Oryctolagus cuniculus: one gene and its partner. The protein of the gene in region 1 binds, or shares a complex with, the protein of each later gene. Links are inferred from orthologs where the notes say so. Each region holds a gene or a part of one and is shown on either strand. Other genes may lie near its edges. The genes, in order: GABARAPL1 and STBD1.

The links.
Region 2: the proteins of GABARAPL1 (region 1) and STBD1 are in contact, whole or in part, in a crystal structure (PDB 8X8A), measured with the Homo sapiens proteins. The link is inferred for Oryctolagus cuniculus from reciprocal best matches to the Homo sapiens genes GABARAPL1 and STBD1. Residues at the interface, in NP_113600.1 of Homo sapiens: Glu17, Ile21, Tyr25, Asp27, Arg28, Pro30, Val31, Ile32, Lys46, Lys48, Tyr49, Leu50, Val51, Pro52, Asp54, Leu55, Gly58, Gln59, Phe62, Leu63, Arg67, Phe104; in NP_003934.1 of Homo sapiens: Glu201, Glu202, Trp203, Glu204, Met205, Val206, Pro207, Arg208, His209, Ser210, Gly213.

The regions. Positions count from the first base shown.
Region 1 is NC_091440.1:106,915,093-106,919,448, reverse strand, and holds the start of GABARAPL1 (gamma-aminobutyric acid receptor-associated protein-like 1), read right to left. Parts: upstream 2,891-4,356; 5' UTR 1,946-2,890; coding exon 1,856-1,945; intron 1-1,855. UniProt on the Homo sapiens protein: Ubiquitin-like modifier that increases cell-surface expression of kappa-type opioid receptor through facilitating anterograde intracellular trafficking of the receptor. Involved in formation of autophagosomal vacuoles.
Region 2 is NC_091439.1:89,583,147-89,587,492, reverse strand, and holds the start of STBD1 (starch-binding domain-containing protein 1), read left to right. Parts: upstream 1-1,255; 5' UTR 1,256-1,416; coding exon 1,417-1,603; intron 1,604-3,453; coding exon 3,454-4,235; 3' UTR 4,236-4,346. UniProt on the Homo sapiens protein: Acts as a cargo receptor for glycogen. Delivers its cargo to an autophagic pathway called glycophagy, resulting in the transport of glycogen to lysosomes.

The DNA of each region.
Region 1 (4,356 bases):
GAGGGAGGCTCACAGCTGGTTAAACCCTAACTGGTGGAGCCCTGGCATCCCAGGGGTGGTCTGAATGGCTTACTAGTTATCAGAAAGTAAGACATCCAACTCCAAACTGTAAGCACAGAAAGAACAAGAAGGATAAGCTGAAATATCCTGGGGGGCAGGGGGATGCACAGAAAGGGCTGAAAAGGGAAGCGCTGTTTTGAGAAAATACAGGAGAATGCTAACTAGGAGCAGGTGCATCTATATAAAGCTACCTGAACCTAGGCTCCCAGTCATTCTGCTTACTGCGTGCCCTGTCTGGCACCAGACTACCCTATGAATTCTTGAGGGTAGCAACAGTACATTTCCACTACTCAGCAGTGTGAGGTGCACAATGCCAGAACTGTATTAGAAATTAAACCAAACAGCACGGGAGGTTAAGGGCCAGAGTTGGAATCCAGGCTGTGCCATAGACTCGCAAGGTCAAGTCTTTAGGGAGTGACTTCATCTCTCTATGGTTCCAGTCTTCATCTATAGAGTGAGGATTGCAATGTGAGGATTAAGTGAATGACATTAGAGCCCTGAGAACGCGGCCTGCTGTGTGTAAGTCAGCAGTGAAAGCTAGCTGCCGTTTTTAAACCTCATTCCTCCAGAATCGCTAGATCTGGGAGAAACATTTACAACAAGCACCCTAGGTCCAGGAAGAGGCAGGTTCACACAGGGCGCTGGGTAACGATTAGCTCCCCTTTGTAGCCCAAAGCCACTGTGTACAAAATAGCTGAGGAATGGCAGGGCCAGAGAGTTTCCATTGCGGGGCTAGAGCCCAGATTGCTTCTGGCTGCAGTAAGAACATGAGAGTTACGGAAGAATTGGAGAATTCCCAAATAGTCCGTGTGAGTCAGGAGAGGCCACATCACATAATGGCAACTCTTGACATCTTATCCCACTTATCCTTATCCCACCGTCCCTGTCTGAAGATGGAAATAATCACAAACTCTGCGCCCCCATCTCCAAACACCCAAGGGCTGCAGCCCCTGGCCCGCGCACCCAAGTCATCCTGGGCTACGCAGCCTGCATTAGACAAGAGCCGGGCAAGTGGGCGGGGGAGGGGGCAACGGGAAAAACGCCCGGATGCTGAGAGATGGCTTCATGTTTCTTCCTCCTCGCTCCTGGCACCAGCTTTAGCGACGTGAGCCAGTGTCCAAATCCGAAAGAAAAAGTCCTCAGTCCCGCCTTATGGTGTCAGGCCCCATCGGATCACAATCAGCTCCAAGGGCAGGCCGGCCGCTCCCCGCCCCCCACGGGCCCCCGGGGCCGGGAACGCTGAGGCAGGCGGCTGTTGCGCAGAGAACGTGACCTTGCTTTCTGGGCCAGGCCCGTCTCGTGGCGTCCCCAGCCCTCCCCTCCCTAATTCTAAGAGAAATCAAGAAAGAACCTCCCAGGCCCAGAGCTCAGGAGGGCCAAAGCCAACTTGGGTAATTAAAGGCGAAGCATCCTCAGAGGCAAACCCCAAGGCATCAGTGGCTCCCATCACAATTCCGCTGCGTGCTTAACAGCGGCACGTCCACGGCCCGCATCCACACGCCCACACCGCGGGCAGACAAGCCCCACCGCGGGCCCACCTGCACCTGCACCTGCACCTGCACCTGCTCGAGCCCTCCATACTGCTGAGTCACCGCAGACAGGGGCTCTGCCGCCAGGAACCAGCGGCCTCCGCTAGGGCCGCGAGCCCCCCCCATCCCACCCCAGATCCGCAGGCCGAACGGCCCCGGGCGGGCGAGGCTCGCGGAGCCCCCTCTGCGCCGCAGGGCTGCCAGCCCGCCGCCCCGCACCCACGGGCCCCGACCCCCTCCATCCTCCCCGCCCCCACGACACTCACAGGGACCCTGTCCGGATACTTCTTCCGGATCTTTTCTCCTTCCTTTTTCCGATACTCAAAGGGATGGTCCTCCTTATACTGGAACTTCATGATGCACCGCAGGTTTTCCGAGACGCCCGGACGGGGCCTGCCTCCCTCGCGGACGATTGCGTCTCTCGCGCTTCGCTGCCCTCCGCCAACTTCTGGGGGTACCAGGATCGCTTCGGAAGCGTCCGCGCCCTCTGCCACGCCGCCTGGCCCAGCGCTCAGGACGGGCACCTCGGGGCCCCGGCCTGCAGGTGGGAAGCGGCCAGGTGAAGAGACCCGGGCGGCTGTGCCCAAGCGCAGGGAACACAAAAACACCCCAGCGGCGCGCAGGGGTTGTGACGTCACGAAGCCGCGCCCAGGCCCTCAGGCCCCGCCCCCGGCCCCGCCCCCGGCGCTCCGGACTCGGCGGAACCGAGGTGAACAGAAACCTTGTTTGTTTTTATTTATTTTGACCCTGCCTGATTTTTTTTTCCCGAGTGGAGCCCACTGCAAACCTGAAAGCGTTATACTTGGTATTCTACTGCGATTTGATATGAAAAACGGTTTTTAGTTAAGACAACGGGCTAAAGATGTCTCCATCCCCCTCCTTGGCGTCTCTTGGTTGGGACCCAAAACAAATACAAAGGGCTGCCCTCCAGCCTGGTCCCCCCTGCCTGGGACCGGGAGCCTGCGTGGGCCGGGGTCCCGCGCCTCCTGGGATGCCTTTTGCCCCTGCGGAAGGGGCGCGGAGTTGCGTTTTGCCCTCTGCGGGCTCCGCAGCCTTCCCGCTCCGCGTCGTCGGCGTCGTCCTGTTTTGGTCCCCGCCGCAGTCCGTCCTCAGAATGGCAGCGTCGGTCAGCAGGGCGTGACTCGGGCCCCAGTGCGGGGAGGTGGTGTTGGTGAGGGCTCCGAGGACTTCACGCTCGCGAACGGCTCGCTTTCCCCTGGGACCCCGGGAGCTGGGCCTCGTGGAGCCGTGGAGGCCCCTCACTCGGTGGAGCTCAGATGTTTGGGTTGTTGTTGTTTTTCTTTAATTCTGCAAAACCGCACGTGGAAAATAGATGCGCGGGGTACAATCGGCCCGGCGCGTGAACGGAAGGCACTGCCTCAGGTACCGGGTGCCATGAGGCATCTCTTGCCTCACGACCTCGGGACCCAAGACCTGCCCAGCCCTGCTCTGGCCGGGGATCCCTGGAGTCTGTAGGGAGAGGGCGGCAGAGATCGCAAAGAAGAGAGGGGAAGGGTTCCCTTGTGTTCCAGTCTGTGAGTTCTGAAAACTATTAGACAAGGGCTATCAGCGTCGCCTTCAAAAATCCCACAAAATGAAACTTTCATTATCGAAACAAGAAAACGAATTTCATAGTCCCGTTGGTCCCGTTGGTCTTGTTAATTCCTTTTTCCCATGGCATTTGTCAACTTTTTTTTAAAGATTTATTCAAAAAGCAAAGTGACAGAGGGAGAGAGAAAGAGCTTCTGCCTGCTGGTTCACTCCCAAATGGCCACACCAGCCCCGTCTGGGCCAAACCAAAGTCTGGAGCCAATAATTCCATCCAGGGGCCAGCGCTGTTGCGCAGCGGGTTAACACCCTGCCCCACAGTGCGCCAGCATCCCATATGGCCGCAGGTTTAAGACCCGGCTGTGGCACTTCCAATCCAGCTCTCTGCTAAGGCCTGGGAAAGTAGTAGAAGATGGTCCAAGTCCTTGGGCCCCTACACCCATGTGGGAGACCCGGAGGAAACTCCTGGCTCCTGGCTTGGGATCGGCACAGCTCCGGCCGTTGTAACCAATTAGGGAGTGAACCAGTGCATGGAAGACCTCTCTCACTCTCTGCTTCTCCGCTCTCTGATTCCATCCAGGTCTCCCTCTTGGATGACAGAGGCCCAAGAACTTGGGCAGGAAACGGGAAGGAAAGCAGAGCAGCCAGGACTCAAACCACTGCTCTGTTGGAGGGTGCCGGTATGGCAAGCTGCAGCTTAATAAGCCTCTGCCACAGTGGTAGCCTCTGTTCTTTTGTTAATATATGAAAATCCTCATATCATTTTATCACATTGTATATAATTTCCAGCCCTTATTTTCAAGTTGCAATTAGTTTAATTGCCACTCATTCATTTTAGCTTTGACTCAAACCTAGGTAAATCTTTTAGAGGACTGCTTTACATCCAGTTGAGAAAGGTAATTATGGTGGCAATTAAAATGCTAAGAGTGTTGTTGGGAACAATCGTAGCTAGTTGAAATGCTGATTTTAACCTTTATTTTAAAAATATCCAAGCACAAAGGCAACTTATACAATATGTAAAAACTAATTTGGAGATGAAATTTTGGTTAATCTTTCTGCCACAACTTTTCTAAAGGCCAATGCCTTATCTTAGAATACACAATCTGTCAGTTTCCAAAGTGTGTTCCTTACCTTTATTCTCAGCATGACATTTAAAATGTTATACGGAAGCTAATTTATAAATTAACACATTTAATAAAAACATTTCAGATTCCTCTTT
Region 2 (4,346 bases), on another chromosome or scaffold:
CTGGACGCCAGGAGTGAGTTCGGATGGAAATGTGGACACTTCTCAGCTCGCAGCGCGGCAGGCGCAGGCTGCCCCTTTAGTTGCCTGGCGCTTCGGCTCGTCGCCACGAAACGCGGCAGGGTCTTTCTTCGCCAGACCCTCTACCAACCGCGAGGCCGCACGGTCTCGGTGCCCCCTCTCTGCCTGACTCCTCAGGGAGCGTTGCTGTGTGTCTCGTGACCATGAAGAATGAGCTACAAGGACAAGCAAGCAGTGAGCCCAGCAAGGCATGTTTACTGAAGAAAGCAAAGGAAGGTCTCCGGCTCCAGGCCCCGCCCGGCGAGAAGGGGCAACCTGCCCCAAACTACCGCCCAGAAGGCCTCCGTACCCTCAGTCCCCTCTCAGGCCGGCCTGGTTCCTGTTTAACGAGGTTCTGAAGGAGGAAGTTCACATGATTAGTTGAGCTATATGCTAATGCGGTATTCTAGGTGACCCAATCAGGGAGTCATCGAAGCCTGAATGTGATTGGTTCGGCCAGGAACCAATCAGCAGTGGCCTAACATGGCGCTCATGCACCATAGGGAAGGGAGGCGCATGCGCAGAACCAATCAGCAATGGCCTAAGATGGACTCCTTATTAGTGAAGTTAGAGGCGTGCGCTGGGCAGGCCGGTGGCGGGCAGGACGTCGGGTAGATGCAGCATCGGAGGATGATGCTGCGTGCGTCTCCCTCCTCGTCCTCCTTCGGGGCTCCTGGAGGGCTACCGCCCACGTGTTTCTCCGTTTCCTCCCTGTGGTCCCCAGGAGTGTCTTTATCAACACGTTGTGGCTGTGCGAGGAACAACGTGAATGCGCACGAACCCTCACAAAGGGTGGCTCTTTTCATTCATCTCGTTGGTTCGCGCTTGAACCTGGTCTACAGCCAGCTCAGCCCCGTGGGCACAGCCATGGCAGCTCCCGCAGGCCACACAGAGGCCGAGGCGGAAGCCAGGCCTGAATGAGGCTGAGAGGACTGGCTTTTGCAGCCCGAACGGCCCACGGCCCGTCCGGTCCGGTCCAGTCGGGCAGCGGGGCGAGGCGGAGGCCGGGGAGGCCCAGCGCAGGTAGCGGGGTCCCCCGGGGGTTCCCGGCCTCCCACGCACGGGGGAGGCGGCGCCCACCTGCGGGGGCCGGCCCGTGGCAGGGCCCGGCTGCGCGTGGTCGTCGTGCACACGCGGGGCGGCGCGCTCGCGTCCCCGCCGGGCCGGAACCCGCGGCGGCGGCGGAGTGGGGCGGGCAGTGGGCGGGGCGCGGAAAGTTGAGCGCGAGTCGCCGAGGGCTGGGCTGGGCGCCGGAGGGCCGGCGAGGAGCCGTAAAAGGCCGGGGCGGCCAGGGTAGGTGTGGCCCTGCCTTCGAGACCTGCGCCCGGGGCCGGCCGCCGCCCGTCGTCTCCCGCAGCCATGGGCGCTGTCTGGTCCGCCCTGCTGGTCGGAGGAGGTCTGGCCGGGGCGCTTTTCGTGTGGCTGCTGCGGGGCGGCCCCGAGGACGCGGAGCAGAAAGACGCCTCTGCCGGGGAGGCTGCGACTCGCGGAGAAGGGCAGGGAGGCGGCGGCGGACGGAGCCCCTCCAAGCTGGGCACCAAACCAGGTATTCGTCCCGCCCGGACCTGGAGAGCAACTCTGCGGGGGCTTTGAACTTGGCCTGGGTGGGGCAGGGCATTTAAGAAGCCCACCTGGCGCTTTCCTGGCGGCCCGACCCCACCCACGAGCTGGACCCTTCCCGCGCCCCGCCAGGTTCCAGCGCTCCAAGGAGGCCTTGGAGACGCCCCGGCCGAAGCTCCCAGGGCCGCGCCCCGCCGGCCTCGGCGCTCCTGCCCCTCCAGCTGGCCCGCTTGGCGCAGTGCGGGCGGTTGCAGCCGCGGCGCCCCTTCCCTGGCCTCGAGAGAGGCCGGTGGGAGCTTAGGGGGCCCCACCAGCCTCTGTCCGAGCAGGGACGTTTTCTCAGTCCCAGCCCCGCAGCCTCGCTTGCTCCGATCCCGCTTCCCCCGGGAGGGCTGGGTTTGGGAACACCCGTGCTGTGAGCGCCTCCTGTTCTCTGGACGCTTCTCTGGGGCCAGCAAAGTTCAGGGTGGACTTTGGCCGTGCAGGCGCCCAATTCAGAAGCATGGGCGCGCTCCCTGCTCGCTCAGCAGCGCAGGGGGCTTCACCCCCTGGGAAGCCACTCCTTAAGGGGGGGACTCCGTGCAGTCAATTGACATTTAGGGTGACACGGCCGCATTTCAGAAGACCGCAGGCTGGGCAAGGAGGGAGCGCTGGCGGAAAGCCTCGCTTTCCAGAGCCGTCCCTGGCGAGCTGCCCGGCCGGGACTGCAGCCTCATGGTGAAGTGACACCTGCGAGCTTCCTTCCAGAGGAGTGCGTTCCCGTGTCGCCTGGTGGAGACCGGCCCTTGCGCCTCTCAGCCCTGGTTGTGATGAGGAGAGAGGCCAGCCTCATGTTTTAGGTTGAAAAATTGGGAATTCTGAGTACCATTTGCTCTTGTGTCCCCACTAGCCCCACCATTGAACAGGGACGAAATAAAACAAGACTACTCTCCCTGACTGTATGATTCTGGAATTTGCTACCTTGCAGGGGGCTCTTTGGATTGCCAATGAGGCCGTCTAGGGGAGAGCTGGGTCTGAAGGGGCCTAAGAACATCCACAGCGTGTACAGTGGAGGGGACACAAGGCCCTGGTGTGTTGGGGTTCCTGATGCCGTCCCCCAGGATGCACCGTATCCCCCACCCCTGCCCCTGCCGTCTGTGACAGCAGACCCGTGCTACCCCTGGGAGGACACGTACATTCTAATGTGTCCGGGTGTTGTGCAGCGTTTTGCCCCGCCCCCGCTGGACTTTTTTTTTTTTTTTCAAAGAAGCTTCTAAAATCTTATTTGAAAAAGGGAAACTGGCAGAGACAGCTCCTGTACTATGGCTCACTCCCTATATGCCCACGAGGTGCAGGTGGGGTGGGCAAAGCTGGGAGCTGGGAGCCCTGTTCCGGTCTCCCCTCTGAGGGGCAAGGACCCAAGCACTTGAGCCATCACCATTGCCTCCCAGGCTCTGCATCAGCAGGAAGCTGGAGTCAGGTGCTCAGACCTGAGAGGTGGGTGTCTTTGAACACCTGTCTCTACGTGACACGTTTTGATGATCGGAGCCAAGCACTGGGACTTGGCTGAATGCCATCATGGCCTGTACTGTGGGAGACTGAGGACCACGGCAGGGTTACACTTCTGTCTTTACAGCTTGCCACTTCATTTACACTTTAGGGCTGGTGCACTGACACTCCTGTGGGTGCATTTTAGTGTGGGGCATGCATGCGGATTCTTAGAGTTGGGATTATACAGGGGCATTAAGTACCGGATTTCATTAAGCAGGAATTCTGAGAACTGCAGATAGGAGTAACGCCTGCAGTGACAGTCTCTTCTCCATGAGCTAACACTGCTACATTCTTTTTGTTTCTTAGAGCATCCTCAAGAAAGCAATGGACGCTTGATTTCTGAGACCAAAGACCTTGGGAAGCTGCAGGAAGCAGCCCGGCCACTGCAGAACCCTAGCAGAGATGCCAGAGAGCACAGCCCTTCTGGGCACGTGGCAGATGCGGGAGCCCCGGCCAGTTCTGCAAGCGCTCACTCCAGAAGTTCCTCTGAAGCGTCCAGAAGTGAAAGTCTGGAGTCTCCCAGAGGGGAATGGGGACTCCAAAAAGGACGAGAGGCACTGGCTGGGGCCGGAGAGGAACTGCCTTCTAGCAGGCCGCGGGTGGACAGGGCCCAAGAAGTGGGCCTCGCACAACCGGACAGCCAGGGGGTGTCTAGGCACTCCTCCTGGGGGGATGCTGGCTTGGGTGGTAGCCTAAAACAGGGAATGGACGGTGCCAGAAACTTTCTTGTGGAAGCAAGGGGTCGAGAAGTGGATGGGAAACCAGGATGGGCAGCGGCCAAGTCTGCAGAGTCCCGGCAAGTTAGCGTCAGGTTCCAGGTCCATTATGTGACGGGCACCGACGTGGCGTTCATTGCAGTAACCGGAGACCACGAGCGTCTTGGGAGCTGGAACACGTACATCCCACTCCACCGTAACAAGGACGGCTTCTGGTCTCATTCTGTTTGCCTGCCGGCAGATACGGTGGTGCAGTGGAAGTTTGTGCTGGTGGAGAACGGGGGAGTTACTCGCTGGGAAGAATGCAGTAATAGAGTCCTGGAGACCGGCCGTGAGGATCAAGTGGTTCATGGGTGGTGGGGAGTTCACTGAGTGAGTTTGCAGAGTATGAGATGCAGTGGCACAAGGTGGCGAAGGCTGAGACTGTGGGGCACACTGAATAATTTAAGATAATAAAAGCTGCATGACTCCAGACTTAGCCAT